Macaca mulatta: one gene and its partner. The protein of the gene in region 2 purifies or fractionates together with the protein of the main gene of each other region. This does not show direct contact. Links are inferred from orthologs where the notes say so. Each region holds a gene or a part of one and is shown on either strand. Other genes may lie near its edges.

What was found. Proteins that work in one complex are often made in the same cells at the same time.
Region 1: the proteins of POLR3H (region 2) and CRCP purify together in Homo sapiens (affinity purification with mass spectrometry; 4 studies listed by BioGRID and IntAct, with this or other methods). This does not show direct contact. The link is inferred for Macaca mulatta from reciprocal best matches to the Homo sapiens genes POLR3H and CRCP.

What each region holds. Positions count from the first base shown.
Region 1 is NC_133408.1:58,875,671-58,883,507, forward strand, and holds the end of CRCP (DNA-directed RNA polymerase III subunit RPC9), read right to left. Parts: intron 3,132-7,837; coding exon 2,982-3,131; coding exon of another isoform or gene 2,780-2,981; 3' UTR 733-2,779; downstream 1-732. UniProt on the Homo sapiens protein: DNA-dependent RNA polymerase catalyzes the transcription of DNA into RNA using the four ribonucleoside triphosphates as substrates.
Region 2 is NC_133415.1:9,957,158-9,965,094, reverse strand, and holds the start of POLR3H (DNA-directed RNA polymerase III subunit RPC8), read right to left. Parts: upstream 4,777-7,937; 5' UTR 4,659-4,776; intron 4,539-4,658; exon of another isoform or gene 4,385-4,538; 5' UTR 4,365-4,384; coding exon 4,254-4,364; intron 713-4,253; coding exon 616-712; intron 289-615; exon of another isoform or gene 1-288.

The DNA of each region.
Region 1 (7,837 bases), on a different chromosome or scaffold from region 2:
CAACCTGGGTGACAGAATGAGATCGTCTCAAAAACAAACAAAAACAAAGTATAATAAATCATTGTTGATTGTAGTCACCCTGTTGTGCTATCAAATACTAGATCTTATTCCTTCTAATTATATTGTTGTATCCATTAGCCATCCCTCCCAACCCCCACTACCCTTCCTAGTCTCTGATAACCATTCTTCAAATCTCTACCTCCATGAATTCAGTTGTTTTAATTTTTTTTTTTTGAGACGGAGTCTCACTGTGCTACCCAGGCTGGAGTACAGTGGCACGATCTTGGCTCACTGAAACCTCCGCCTCCCTGATTCAAGCAATTCTCCTGCCTCAACCTCCCAAGTAGCTGGGATTACAGGCACCTGCCACCACGCCCGGCTAATTTTTGCATTTTTAGTAGAGACGGGGTTTCGCCATGTTGGCCACGCTGGTCTTGAATTCCTGACCTCGTGATCCACCCCTCTTGGCCTCCCAAAGTGCTGGGATTACAGGCGTGAGCCACAGCCTGGTCAATTTTTATTTCTGAAACATTTACTATTAATGTGGTAGGAAAATTACACGGAATATATGTGCATTTCTTATAAAATTAAGTCTTCCAGAACCTGGTTTAACAAAAAACTGAGGCTAAATTCAGGTCTCAAATATAGAAACTTAAACTTTTCTTGAAATCCAATTAAAAATGTAGATCTAAATAAAGTCAGTTTTTTAAGAAAAAAATCACACATTTTAGCTTCAGTCAGATTTCACTTTATTTGTATCCATGACAATATTAACTCTTCAGATTTATAAGATGACAAAACTTGATAATTACCTGGAAACAATTTATTATTAACTAGGTTAACCCTAAATCCATCGAGAAAAACCACCTAACATATTCAGTGTTAACAAGAGACATTACGACCAGCCTGACCAATATGGCAAAACCCTATCTCTACTAAAAATACAGATATTAGCAGGGTATAGTGGCGCATGCCTGTAGTCCCAGCTACTCAGGAGGCTGAGGCACCAGAATCGCTTGAATCTGGGAGGGAGAGGTTGCAGTGAGCTGAGATTGTGCCACTGCACTCCTGGGCAATACAGCGAGACTGTCTCAAAAAAAAAAAAAAAAAAAAAGACAATAATGAGACAGATCGGCACACAGCACACATATGCCCTGAGAAATAAATCAACAGCTCCCAGTAAAATTCCCAATACCCTAGAGAGATTTACAAGTACAATCTGGTACTTTCATTCATTTTTTTTGAGATGGAGTCTCGCCCTGTTGGCCAGGCTGGAGTGCAATGTGCGATCTTGGCTCACTGCAACCTCTGCCTCGCGGGTTCAAGCGATTCCCCTGCCTCAGCCTCCTGAGTAGCTGGGATCACAGGCGTGCACCACCACACTCGGCTGATTTTTTTGTATCTTTAGTAGCGAAGGGGTTTCACTATGTTGGCCAGGCTGGTCTTGAACTCCTGACCTCATTATCCGCCCGCCTCCACCTCCCAAAGTGCTAGGGATTACAGGTGTGGGCCACCACACCTGACCCTAATCTGGTACTTTCAATGTTGCCTATAAACAGATTTCAGCTGAATCCCAGATAGTACGGTTAAGATGCACGGAACTGCAATCAATTGCCTGGGGAGTGGGACGGATGGATGGGCAGGAGGGTTGGAAGAGAAGTAATCCCATTAGCATTGAAAATGAAAGACTACCAATTTGGAAAATCGAATGTCTACGATCATTTTCTTCCCTAAAACAGGGAAGACAGTGAATGTGGAAAATCCAATTTTCAGCAATATTCGCAGGACCTAAGGCAACAACCACATGCCTGGGGCAACTACACTTTCCAAATCCTGAATTCCTGAATATTAAAAAGGTTTTCACATGGTAATAATCTTACTTATTTTTTTTGAGATGAAGTTTCCCTCTTGTTGCCCAGGCTGGAGTGCAATAGTGCAATCTCAGCTCACTGCAACCTCCGCCTCCCGGGTTCAAGTGATTCTCCTGCCTCTGCCTCCCGAATAGCTGCGATTACAGGCATGCACCACCATGCCCGGCTAATTTTGTATTTTTTTTTAGTAGAGATAGGGTTTCTCCATGTTGGTCAGGCTGGTCTCAAACTCCTGACCTCAGGTGATCCTCCTGCCTTGGCCTCCCAAAGTGCTGGGATTATAAGCATAAGCCACTGGGCCAGGCTAATTGTGTCCTTTTTAAAGGAGCAAACAATTTGACTGTTGTGCAAATGAGGCTCACCTGGTCTCAATATGAAGCACCTGCCCTGGGCTGCTGTCTCAGGGCAGGAAAGTGGGGTGGTCAGGAAGGCAGCCAACACTGTTTCTGCTGCCACTGTCACTAAGCCTGGAATGCCTGTTTTCAACTGCAGTGATCTGGTCCCTAACATTTAGCCTAAACAGTGAGCTGGTAAACAAAGCCCCTGCCAGCAGAGAAAAGGGGCTCTAGAGCTGTTGAAGGATTGGCCAGGCCGGTTCTTTTCTTATCTCAGTTGTTCTCGAGGAAATTCCTCTAAGGTGAGCCAAGGTCAGTGACTCATTTTAACTTAGAGTAACTCTCTGGGGTTCTAACCAGATTCCCAACAGTGCTCTGAGCCCCTGTTTAGTAAGTTCCCAGGGAAGCAGATGAAACTAATTAGGACATGGCCCACCAAAGAAGACACAAGCATTTTCCCCGCTGTGTATAGAGACCTCCCCACAACTGGGGCAAAGGCTGTGGAGGAAATCTTTCAAGCACAGAGGGGTCCACGGTCACTGTCCCCACCTTCAGCTCTCTGCCCTGACAACCTCAGCCTGTCTTCACCATGTTTCTTCTCCCCAAGGCACAAATATTTCTTTTTAGCTTATTTTTGTGATGTACCCAACTAACCACGAAGCCAGCCAGGCCTGCCGGGATAGAGGGTATAATCAAATAAACAATCCTCTCAACATCCAGGAAATGGCTGCTGGGCCTTCTGACGTCATGAAATGCCAGGGCCAGCTGTGCTCTTCTACGCTGGGTCCTCTTCGTCCATTGCCACGTCGCTGTTGGTCTTCTTCTTCTGCTCAGCCTCTGGCCCTGCAGGCAGAATGCTGGTGACAGTGTGGAGAAGAGCTTCAATCTGCTCCTCCGTGAGCCGCTCTTCACTCTCTTCCACCATCTGCAGAAGGAAAGAAAATCCTCCAGGGTTACAAATGAAACTCACAGTCCTGGGCAGCCCTGCCCACTGTGCTCACAGTCTCAGCCCGGCCTCCTGGCACACAGATCTCACGGCCTGGGTCCTCGTGAGTCCTCTCCATCTTCCAGATGGAAGGGTGGAGCCAACTCACATCCTGGACTGAGCCAATGCGACTGATCAAAATGGGTCAGTAAAAACTGAGTTGTAGGATAGCATTTTTCTTTAAAGAAAAGGAAAACTCCCAGCCTGGGCAGCATAGAGGAACCCCATCTCTTAAAAAATAATAATAATAATAATCAGCCAGGCATGGTGGTGTGTGCCAGTAGTCCCAGCTACTCGGGGGTCTGAAGTAGGAGGATCACTTGAGCCCAGGTTGAGCCAAGCACTCCAACCTGGGTGACAGAGCAAGATCAACTCTCAAAAAAAAAAAAAAAAAAAAAAGGAAAACGCTAACAGTTATACAACCACTGACACGCACAGAGAGAAGTCAACAGGTTGCATATGCATCTCTGAGAAGTTATATGGCACTTTATGTACTTTTATATTTCACAAGCACATCTGTAATTTTTTTTTTTTTTTTTTTTGGGATGGAGTCTTGCTCTGTGCCAGGCTGGAGTGCAGTGGCGCGATCTTGGCTCACTGCAACCTCCGCCTCTCGGGTTCCAGCAATTCTCCAGCCTCAGTCTCCCGAGTAGCTGGGACTACAGGTGCGAGCCACCACGCCCAGTTAACTGTTTGTATTTTTAGTAGAGACGGGGTTTCACCATGTTAGCCAGGATGGTCTCAATATCTTGACCTCGTGATCCACCCGCCTTGGCCTCCCAAAATGCTGGGATTACAGTGTGAGCCACCGCGCCCGGCACACAGCTGTAATTTAATGAACATCAACATCGTTGATGATGCCCACTGTGTGCCAAATGGTTTGGAGCCTTCTTTTTTTTTTTTTTTGAGACAGAGTCTCGCTTTGTCGCCCAGGCTGGAGTGCAGTGGCCGGATCTCAGCTCACTGCAAGCTTCGCCTCCCGGGTTCACACCATTCTCCTGCCTCAGCCTCTGGAGTAGCTGGGACTACAAGCGTCCGCCGCCACGCCCGGCTAGTTTTTTGTATTTTTTTAGTAGAGACGGGGTTTCACCATGTTAGCCAGGATGGTCTCAATATCTTGACCTCGTGATCCACCCGCCTTGGCCTCCCAAAATGCTGGGATTACAGTGTGAGCCACCGCGCCCGGCACACAGCTGTAATTTAATGAACATCAACATCGTTGATGATGCCCACTGTGTGCCAAATGGTTTGGAGCCTTCTTTTTTTTTTTTTTTTGAGACAGAGTCTCGCTTTGTCGCCCAGGCTGGAGTGCAGTGGCCGGATCTCAGCTCACTGCAAGCTTCGCCTCCCGGGTTCACACCATTCTCCTGCCTCAGCCTCTGGAGTAGCTGGGACTACAAGCGTCCGCCGCCACGCCCGGCTAGTTTTTTGTATTTTTTTAGTAGAGACGGGGTTTCACTGTGTTAGCCAGGATGGTCTCGATCTCCTGATCTCGTGATCCGCCCGTCTCGGCCTCCCAAAGTGCTGGGATTACAGGCTTGAGCCACCGCGCCTGGCTGGAGCCTTCTTCTAATCCTCACTCCCACTAGCAACAGCCCTGCGGGGAGGCCTCCCGTGTGCCTGGAGCTGCATCTTGCACTTCCCGTCCAGCATTTCCTTTCATCCTCTCAGCAATGCTGCCAAGAGGTAGAACTGGAATCCCCAGCCAGGCCTGCCCAGTCTAAAACCCACAGTCTCCCACACTCCACACCACACTGCCCATCAAAGGTCCACGCAAAACCTGGTTTCTGATGTGGTCCCAGAAATCTGAATCTAGAGATGATACGCACAGCCTGAGCCCCTAATTCTAAGCAGAATTAGGTCGTCAGCTGCCTTTTTAAAAGCAGCATGCAGGCAGTCAAGTTACTTAACCCTGTTTGCTTGGTGGCATCAACCATCGATCACAAACACCTTTCTCAGCTCAAGGTGGCCAGGTCCTATTCCACAGCATTCCCCACAGCAATCTCTGAAATTCGGCAAATGGAACCACAGGGAGTTCCAGAAAGAAATCCTGGCAGACTGAAGTAAAACAAGGTAATAGGACAGGCCTGCAATCCTGGAGAGGATCCCAGTCTGACCACCTCACTTTACAGACAACAGCACAGTTCAGGAAGTCATGTGACATGCCCAAGGTCACACCACGAACTCCTGGCAAAACCCTGGTCTCTCCACTCACTTCAGCCCAAAAGTGTTTCTGCAACTAGATAATAATTCTGGTGTCCCAGGATGGGGCGGGGGGATCCTGAGCGAATCAATGGGGGCTACTCCCTATGACACTGTGAAATAAAATGACCATTTTCTAAAGATTCCATGGCTCAGGAAAATGTAAATTCTCTTGGGAGAAAGAAACAATCTTCAACCCCTGCCCCCCCCTTTTTTTTTCTGAGACAGTTTAACTCTTGTTGCCCAGGCTAGAGTGCAATGGGGTGATCTCGGCTCCCTAGTAGCTGGAATTACAGGCATGCACCACCACGCCCGGATAGTTTTGTATTTTTAGTAGAGACAGGGTTTCTCCATGTTGGTTAGTCTGGTCTTGAACTCCTGACCTCAGGCGATCCACTAGCCTCGGCCTCCCAAAGTGCTGGGATTATAGGAGTTAGACACCATGCCCGGCCAAAAAGCCATGTTTAAAATTAGACATGCAAAGTTACAGTCTATAAAAAGCAGTAATCTAACATGTACTGCCCCCAAAGAATAAAGCAGAGAAAGGAGGAAAATAGCCAAGATTTGGTTATTTAATCCAGAGAAAAGATGATCTCCGTTTGAGGAAAGAATGTGCAGAAAAAAACTTTGCTAAATTCACTAACAGCCGAACCTTTTATCAACATCCAATCCTCAGGGTTAATTATAGTCAGGACCTTTTGTTTTTCAACCTAAGGTTCCCAGTCACAGGAAGAAACCCTACACTGCATTAAACTAAATGAAATATAAACAAAAAGAAACTTTCAGAAATAAAACACTAGCACCTCTTGGATCACTAGCGTAAATGACAATGCCTACATTATCCCTCACCCCCGCCTTTTCTTTTCCCAAAGAGAGTGGGTCTTACTCTGTCACTCAGGCTGTAGCATACTGGCGCAATCATCACTTACTGCAGCCTCAAACTCCTGGGCTCAAGCAATCCTCCTGCCTCAGCCTCCTGAGTAGCTGGGACTATAGCTATGTGGCACCATGTCCAGCTAATTATTTTTTATTATTTTTTGTAGAGATGGGGTTGCCCAGGCTGGTCTTGAACTCCTGGGCTCAAGCGATCCTCCCACATTAGCCTGCCAAAGTGCTGGGATTACAGGCATGAATCACTATGCCTGACCCTTCACCTTTTCTTTCCAACAGAGGAGAAACATTCCAAGAGTAAAGTTCAAAGCACCATCTCAAGGTTCTCAGATACCAATCATTTCAGGTAGTTCAGAACATAAGGACAAATAAACATAAAAGTCTGAAGTATCGATAGCTGAGTTAACACAAATGATAAACTTTCATTATTTCAGTCCCAGGAGCATCAAACTGGGTCGCTGATCTCCAAAAATGGCAACTCGAAGTTGCCAAACCTAATGTCCTACTTTCCTCAAAATGAGTCAAAGATCTGAGAGCAACAACGTACACTATTAAATATTTGATCCAGAACAGTTAACTAAACCTGGTTTTCTAAATTTCAATTTTCTCTAATGTAAAATGAAAGTAACGCCTACAGCAAGGACAAAAGGAGAACATATGTAACAGTGTTTTACAAGCAATAACACTCTATATGAGTCCAGACTTCATAATCACGAAATTACTAACAGGCCTAGATGGTAGTGCTGTTCAGGACAGTGGCCTGTGAGGTCACAGGATTCACTGACCTCAGCCCAGAGGGCTCACAAATCATTCCAAATCAATACACAACTGGGCACGACAAGTCCTAAGCCGGGTGGCCACCTCATTTCCTCACTGAGCCTCTGAGTCAGCAGGCAGTCATCAGAGGGCCACAGCAAATCACTGCTCAGGCGTAACTGAAGAGGTGAGGTTTCAGCCTCCAAAAGACACCTGGCTCCCAAGTGAATGGTAATAAATGTCGGACACTGGGACTGTTTTCTGGACCCAGGGAGAAAAAATGGCTCTAGTGTTGATATAGGGAACTTCTCACTCAAGTCCTTTGCGCTTTCCACTGTAAGTGAAACCTTTATTTCTTTTTGTTTTCTTGAGATGGAGTTTCGCTCTTGTCACCCAGGTTGGAGCGCAGTAGCGCAATCTCGGCTCACTACAACTGCCACCTCCCAGGTTCAAGCGATTCTCTGCCTCAGCCTCCCGAGTAGCTGGGATTACAGGCTCATGCCACCACACCCAGTTAATTTTTGTGTATTTAGTAGAGACAGGGCCATGTTGGCCAAGCTGGTCACAAACTCCTGACCTCAGGTGATCCACCCACCTCGGCCTCCCAAAGTACTGGGATTACAGGTGTGAGCCACTGTGCCTGGCCATTTGCTTTTTTTTTTTTTTTTTTAAAGACAGGGTCTTGCTCGGTCACCCAGGCTGGAGTACAGTGGCACTATCATAGCTAATTGCAGCCTTGAAATTCTGGGCTCAAGCAATCCTCTCACCTTAGTCTCCTGAATAGCTGGGACCACAGG
Region 2 (7,937 bases):
CACAGCTATTAAGAGGCAGAGTTCAGCTTTGAATCTCGAGACCACACTCTTACTTACTGTGTCCTACTATCGAAGTCCCCTCCCACAGCCAGCCTGCTGATCCCCCTTCCGTCTGCTCTCCACAGGCAGTGGGCAGTCCGAGGAATGGACAAGGTGCAGGGCTCAGTAGCAATGAGACCAAAAGGGCACAGACATAGAGCTATGATGTCAGAGCTGAAGAGGCCTTGAGAACCACCTAGTCCACATCCCAGGCCTCACAGATGAGGAAACAGAGGCCCAGAGAAGATAAGTCTGCCGCTGTCACCGGGTCAATTCCTGGCCAATTCAGGATGAGGCCCCAGGTCTCTCAACCTCCAGGACTCCCAGCACCCTCTGGCCATCTCTTTGGCTTTAACCTTTTAAAATTTTTAAATACTTTATTTATTTATTTATTTATTTATTTAAAGACAGGGTCTTACTATGTTGCCCAGACTGGCCTTGAACTCTGTGGCTCAAGAGATCCTTCCGCCCTCAGCCTTACAGGCACACACCACTGAACCTGGCTTTGGCTTGAACTTTTGCTACAGAAAACTGAGCCCCAAGAAACCCAATGCCCCAGGGACAGAAGATACCCACCTTTGGTGTGTGATGCGCCATCCCCAGGGAATACATAGGCATCCTCCAGTTTGGTGATATCAAACAGACATATGCAGAGTCCCACGCTGTACACGACCTGCATGCATACAAACATAGACACACAAGTACACATGGACACAGAGTGACCACAGGCCCAGCTCCCAGGCAGTCTGAACCCCTCACAACCGCAAGCAAGCCATGATTATCTCCTTTTTAAGGTGAAAATGAGTTTGTGGAGGAAACCAGGATAAGGAACCTCAGAACGATGCAGAGATCTGGAAGGAGCAGGGCCTCAGGTGACAAAACAGGTCCAGGTTCCAAGGCCAGCTCTACCACCCACTGTGTGACTGCCAAGAGGGTCACTTCACCTCTCTGAGCCTCAGTCTCCCCATCAGAGAATGGGAAATACCAGGCGGCAGGATTATAAAATAAAGAGAGATAACAGATGTGAAGCCCCTAGCCTAGTGCCTGGCTCGTGCGCTGAAAACAATCATCATTGAGGATCTTTGTTATTACTAGTGAGGACCAGTGACAGGAATGCTAGCTAAACGTGCAGTCTCCGACATCCCAAAGCCAATGCCAGAGCTCACAGTTTGGTAAGCGTCAGAACCATTGTGCTCACAACATCTTAGACACACAGATGCAGCCACAGGGACTGCAGCTGGCAGAGGGACACATGACCTAGGCCCCAAGAATGTGCAGAAATCCCATGCCCCCACCCCACACCATGGTGGTTCAAACAACTGGCTACTCAGTGTCTGCTTATCTGCCACCATGTCATCACCCCCACTTAGAACCCTTGCAGGAACTGTCCAAGAATTAGCAAGAAGCTCAGAGAACTCAGAGTTGTGGCCAAACCTCACCAAGATAAGGCCACAAGATCCATGCCCTTTGTCAGACCATGGATTTCTGTTTGGGCTTCCTCTCAAATGATTCATCTAATTGACTACTATAAGACTTGTCCCAACAGGACCTGTACTCCAAAGGGACTCCATTCCCTTCTTGGACTTTCTACCCCTTCTCTCTCCACAAGGTCCGTACCTCATCCCCCAACAGACCCTCACCTTCAACCTCACAAAGTAACTAGCAGCCATCCACTTAAAGACTCCATGAGTTCCCTTCACCACCTAACAACCTTCAAATCAACCTCACCTCTTCTGAAGGGACTGCCTCAGGAAGCTGAGCTTCCTCTTTCTGGCTCCTTCTCAGTCCATCACCTCCTGATGCTCCATGGATAAAGACCAGTACCTCATCCTACAGGGCTGTGTGGCCTGGCCCCCACCCACCTTTCCAGCCTACCCTTCCCTATGCCCAAGCCACACCAGCCTCTTCCACACCATGGTGGGTGTTGTACCCCTTCTTCTTTCTTCTTCTTTTTTTTTTTTTTTTTTTTGAGGCAAAGTTTCACTCTTGTCACCCAGGCTGGAGGGCAATGGCACGATTTCAGTTCACTGCAACCTCCGCCTCCTGGGTTCAAGTGATTCTCCTCCCTCTGCCTCTCAAGTAGCTGGGATTACAGGCGCCCGCCACCATGCCCAGCTACAGCTACTTTTTGTATTTTTAGTAGAGATGGGGTTTCACCATGTTGGACAAGCTGGTCTCGAACTCCTGACCTCGGGTGATCCACCAGCCTCAACCTCTCAAAGTGTTGGGATTACAGGTGTGAGCCACCATGCCCTGTCTGTATTCCTTCTTCACAGGGCCTGTGCACATGCCAGTTCCTGCCTTCAGGGCTCTTCTCTCCACCCAGCCCCTCCCACCCCAGAAAGGAATCCTCTGGTTGGCTCTACTTCACCATCAGATCTCAGTTCCAACCCCACCTCCTCACCAAAGCCGCAGGTTCCCTCATTCCAGGGGATGGTCCTTTGTTCCCACAGGTGTGTGAACATCTGTCCCTCATAGCATTTACCTCAATTTGTCACCACACCCTCAACTATGGACCCCTCTCATTCATATCTGCTTTTCCCAGCACACTATAGCTCAGAGCCTTGCCTCTGTTTCATTCAACAGACAAATGGCTGGGCGCAGTGGCTCACGCCTGTAATCCCAGCACTATGGGAGGCTGAGGCAGGCAGATCACCTGAGGTCAGGAGTTTGAGACCAGCCTGGCCAACATGGCGAAACCCTGTCTCTACTAAAAGTACAAAAATTAGCCGGGCGTGGTGGAAGGCACCTGTAATCCCAGCTACTCAAGAGGCTGAGGCAGAAGAATAGCTTGAACCCAGGAGGTGGAGGTTGCAGTGAGCCAAGATTGCACCACTGCACCCCAGCCTGGGCGACAAGAGCGGGACTCTGTTTAAATAACAAACAAACAAACAAACAAACAAAAAAACATAAAATTATGGAACATCTACTGGTGCCAGGCTCTGGCTAAGTGAGGGGATACTTCAGGGAAGAAGACAGATAAGTCCCTGCTCTCAAAGAGAGGGAAAGGAAAAAGTCTAAGATGGAAAGACTGATGCGACACAGAACACCTGGAAAGGGAGGACTGCCAGAGAAATGGCAGTGGGAGGACCTCTCAGCTGGCACTAAGGCACATAGGCACGGCGCAGAGATGGCGCACAAATATTGGCTGCTAGAATGAAGGGATGAACCTCCTGACAGTTAACTCTGTACTACTAGAACTGTTCATCTTCACAAAAACAATGCACTGGCCCAGAGCGGTGGCTCACGCTTGTAATCCCAGCACTTTGGGAGGCCAAGGTGGGGAGATCAAGAGATCGAGACCATCCTGGCCACATGGAGAAACCCCGTCTCTACTAAAAATACAAAAATTGGCCGGGCACGGTGGCTCACGTCTGTAATCCCAGCACTTTGGGAGGCCGAGGCGGCGGATCACGAGGTCAGGAGATCGAGACCAACCAGGCTAACATGGTGAAACCCCGTCTCTACTAAAAATCCAAAAAAAATTAGCCGGGCGTGGTGGCGGGCCCCTGTAGCCCCAGCTACTTGGGAGGCTGAGGCAGGAGAATGGCGTGAATCCATGAGGCAGAGCTTGCAGTGTTCCGAGATCGCGCCACTGCACTCCAGCCTGGGCGACAGAGCGAGACTCCATCTCAAATAAATAAGTAAATAATAAAAATAAAACTAAATACAAATACAAATACAAAAATTAGCTGGGCATGGAGGCGCGTGCCTGTAGTCGTCCTAGCTACTCGGGAGGCTGAGGCAGGAGAATTGCTTGAACCCAGGAGGCGGAGGTTTGCAGTGAGCCGAGATTGCGCCACTGCACTCCAGCCTGGGCGACAGAGCAAGACTCCGTCTCGGGGAAAGAAAAAAAAAAAAAAAACGAAACGAAACAAAACAAAAACAACAAAAAACCAATGCATGGCTGGAAGGACAGCAACATTTTATCCCCATTTTACAAATGGAAACTGAGGCCCAGAGGGGTTAACTTGCTTGCAATTGCAAAGTAATTTAGAATTGTAGAGTCTGACACTTCCAGTTACAACTCCCTTTTTTAAGCCCATTTTCTTTTGATCCCCTTCAACATCCTGTTTCACGGTGAACAGAAGTTCTGAGACATTAAGCCGCTTGCCCACGGCCAGGGCTTGGCATGACGGAGGCCAGGCCTGCGGCCGGTGGGCGGCGCTGGCTCTCCCGCGCCAAGGCCTGCCCGCGAGCCGTGGGCCCAGTACCTTGTTGGCCAACTTCTTGTTCAGCTCCTCGGCAATGGAGTCGTTGAGCTTCCTCTCAAACTGCCAAGGGGGGATCCGCACCGTGTCCACCATCTCCACCAGGACAAACATCCCGGTCTGCGCTGGGGGCTCTGGGAACGGGAGGGTCAGTCAAGCACCAGGGCCGGGGGCGGAGAGGATCCCCGAGCCCCTTGGTCCCGTCGCGGTCGCTGAGGCCCCCAGGCTGGCAGTGAGGCTGCACGGGGCGGTCTCGGGTGCCCGGTCCGGGCCATGCTCCGCTACTACAACGGGAGGAAACCGAGGCCAGAAGGAGGCGCTCTCTGTTCAGAGCTCCGGGTGCGCGCCCGCGCCGCGCGACCCCGCCACGCCACGCCCCGCACCCGCGCCACGTGCCGCCGCACGTACCGCGCACCACGCACCGCACACAGCCGCTCGGTTTTGCGTGGCTGCGGGCGAGATTCCGAATCCATCGCTTCCGGAAAACCCACCAATAAGAAGCCTCTGTCCGTCCGAGGCGCACAGAGCGTGTACCCGCGCACTGCGTGGGGCGGAGAGAGGGCGGGGGGGGGCGGGGCCTCCTCCTTTCACAGGAGCAGAGCGTTTTCCCAGCTCCCGACGGCGCTTTCTGGTTGCTAGGCGACCTCCGTGCAATACTGCCTGATTATCCCTCGCCTGGCCTGTGCTTTACCCGCCTTGCTGTCCTCCGCACAGCAGCAGAGTGATCCTTTGGGAACGCAAACATATATTACCACATCTTCTAAGTTAAAAAAAAAAAAAAAAACCACCGCAAACATAATATGCTTAGCACCCTTAAGTGTTCCGGAGACAAGGAGAATTGACAGGAAAGGAACAGTTGGGACTTTTCTGCGATGATGGAAATGTTCTGTATATTCTTTTCGGTGGTATAACATTGACGTATACAAGTGTCCAAACTAATTGAACTCAGGGCAAGATTTTTGCATTTATTTGTAGACATTATATCCCAATTGAAAAGTGATAATAGGCCGGGCGCGGTGGCTCAAGCCTGTAATCCCTGCACTTTGGGAGGCCGAGACGGGCGGATCACAAGGTCAGGAGATCGAGACCATCCTGGCTAACATGGTGAAACCCCGTCTCTACTAAAAATATACAAAAAACTAGCCGGGCGCGGTGGCAGGCGCCTGTAGTCCCGGATACTCGGGAGGCTGAGGCAGGAGAATGGCGTGAACCCGGGAGGCGGAGCTTGCAGTGAGCTGAGATCCGGCCACTGCACTCCAGCCTGGGCGACAGAGCGAGACTCCGTCTCAAAAAAAATAAAATAAAATAAAAAGAAAAGTGATAATAAATTGGAACAAAAAGTACAACCCATTGAACTTAGAATACTAAATCCAAGCCAGGGGTGGCGGTGCACACCTGTAGTCCAGTGATCTACAATCATGCCACTGCACTCTGGCATGGGTGACAGTGACACCCCATCTCTAAACGAAAGAGAAGAAGGAGAAGGAGAAGAAGGAAAAGAAGAGAAAGAAGAGAAAGAAGAAAGAGAAAAGCAGAAAGAAAGAAGAAAAGTCCAAAACCTTTATGGTAGTTCACATGGCCTTGCAGGATCTGATCATACCCCCTCCTATAGCCCCATCATGCTCTCTCTCCCCAACATTCCAGTCTCATTCGTCTTCACGTGATAGTTAGCATGGGCTAAAAGAATTTGGTAACTTGCCCAAGATCATGTGTTGACAAGTGGTAGAGATGGGCCCAGTCTGAACCTCACTACCCTGCCTTTAAAAACTGGTGAAGTGTAGATGTATACTGTAGTGTGTTTTAACCAAAATAACAATTTAGGTACTTAAAAAAGATCCTTGGGGTAAATGACAGAGGCACTTGGAAATGTACGGTGCCTTAATTTGCTGATTTCACAAGCATAGTGATCTCTCAGTGACACTGGCTGCAGTGATGCTAAATGTGGTCTTCCCTGCATGTATGTTTTTATTTTTAGGTCTGCTTCTATAGGATTTGAGGTACTTGAGGACAGGAGCAAATGCTACTTCAGCTCTTTATTCCCACAATCCCCTAACACATTCCTAGGAAGCATTGAGTAAGGTGTTTAGGAGATTAACATTAATTCTTCCTCTCAAATGCTTCCTCTTTATTCCACTCCCACTACTATTGCTTTGGTTCAGGCCTTTTTTTTTTTTTTCTTTTGAGATGGAATCTTGCTCTGCCTCCCAAGACTGGAGTGCAGTGGCGTGATCTTAGCTCAATGCAACCTCCACTTACTGGGTTCAAGCGATTCTCCTGCCTCAGCCTCCCAAGTAGCTGGGATTACAGGCGCCCACCACCACACCCGGTATTTTTAGTAGATATAAGGTTTCACCGGCCGGGCGCGGTGGCTCACGCCTGTAATCCCAGCACTTTGGGAGGCCGAGGCGGGCGGATCACGAGGTCAGGAGATCGAGACCATCCTGGCTAACACGGTGAAACCCCGTCTCTACTAAAATACAAAAAATTAGCCGGGCGCGGTGGCGGGCGCCTGTAGTCCCAGCTACTCGGGAGGCTGAGGCAGGAGAATGGCGCGAACCTGGGAGGCGGAGCTTGCAGTGAGCCGAGATGGTGCCACTGCACTCCAGCCTGGGCGACAGAGTGAAGACTCCGCCTCAAAAAAAAAAAAAAAAAAAGGTTTCACCATGTTGGCCAGGCTGGTCTCCAACTCCTGACCTCAGAGGATCCTCCCACCTCGGCCTCTCAAAGTGCTGAGATTACAGGCATGAGCCACCGTGCCTAGCCAATATCTGGTCATTTAAAAGTATGTGGTGGGGCCAGGCGAGGTGGCTAACGCCTGTAATCCTGCCACTTTGGGAGGCCGAGGCAGGCAGATCACGAGGTCAGGAGATTGAGACTATCCTGGCTAACACGGTGAAACCATGTCTCTACTAAAAATACCGAAAAAAAAAAAAAGTAGCTGGGCATGGTGGCACACGCCTGTGGTCCCAGCTACTTGGGAGACTGAGGCAGGAGAATCATTTGAACCCTGGAGGCAGAGGTTGCAGTGAGCCGAGATTGCGCCACTGCACTCCAGCCTGGCAACAAAGTGAGACTCCGTTTCAAAAAAAAAAAAGAGAGTGTGTCGTGGCCAGGCGTGTGGCTCACGCCTGTAATCCCAGCACTTTGGGAGGCCAAGGTGGGAGGATCACCTGAGGTCGGAGTTCAAGACCAGCCTGACCAACATGGAGAAACCCCATCTCTACTAAAAATACAAAATTACCCGGGCGTGGTGGCGCATTCCTGTAATCCCACCTACTCGGGAAGGCTGAGGCAGGAGAATTGCTTGAACCTGGGAGGCGGAGGTTCCGGTGAGCGGAGATCGCGCCATTGCACTCCAGCCTGGGCAACAATAGCGAAACTCCATCTTGAAAAAAAAAAGTGTGTGGCACCTCCCTCCCCCCACCCTCTCTCGCTCCTCTTTTCCCCATGTGACGTGCCTGCTCCACCTTTGATTTCCGCCATGATGGGAAGCTTCCTGAGGCATCCCTGGAAGCTGAGCCTATGCCAGCACCGTGCTTGCTGTAAAGCTTGTGGAACCACGAGCTAACTAAACCTATTTTCTTAATTTTTTTTTTTGAGACGGAGTCTTGCTCTGTCGCCCAGGCTGGAGTGCGGTGGTGCGATCTCGGCTCACTGAAAAACTCCACTTCCCGGGTTCACGCCATT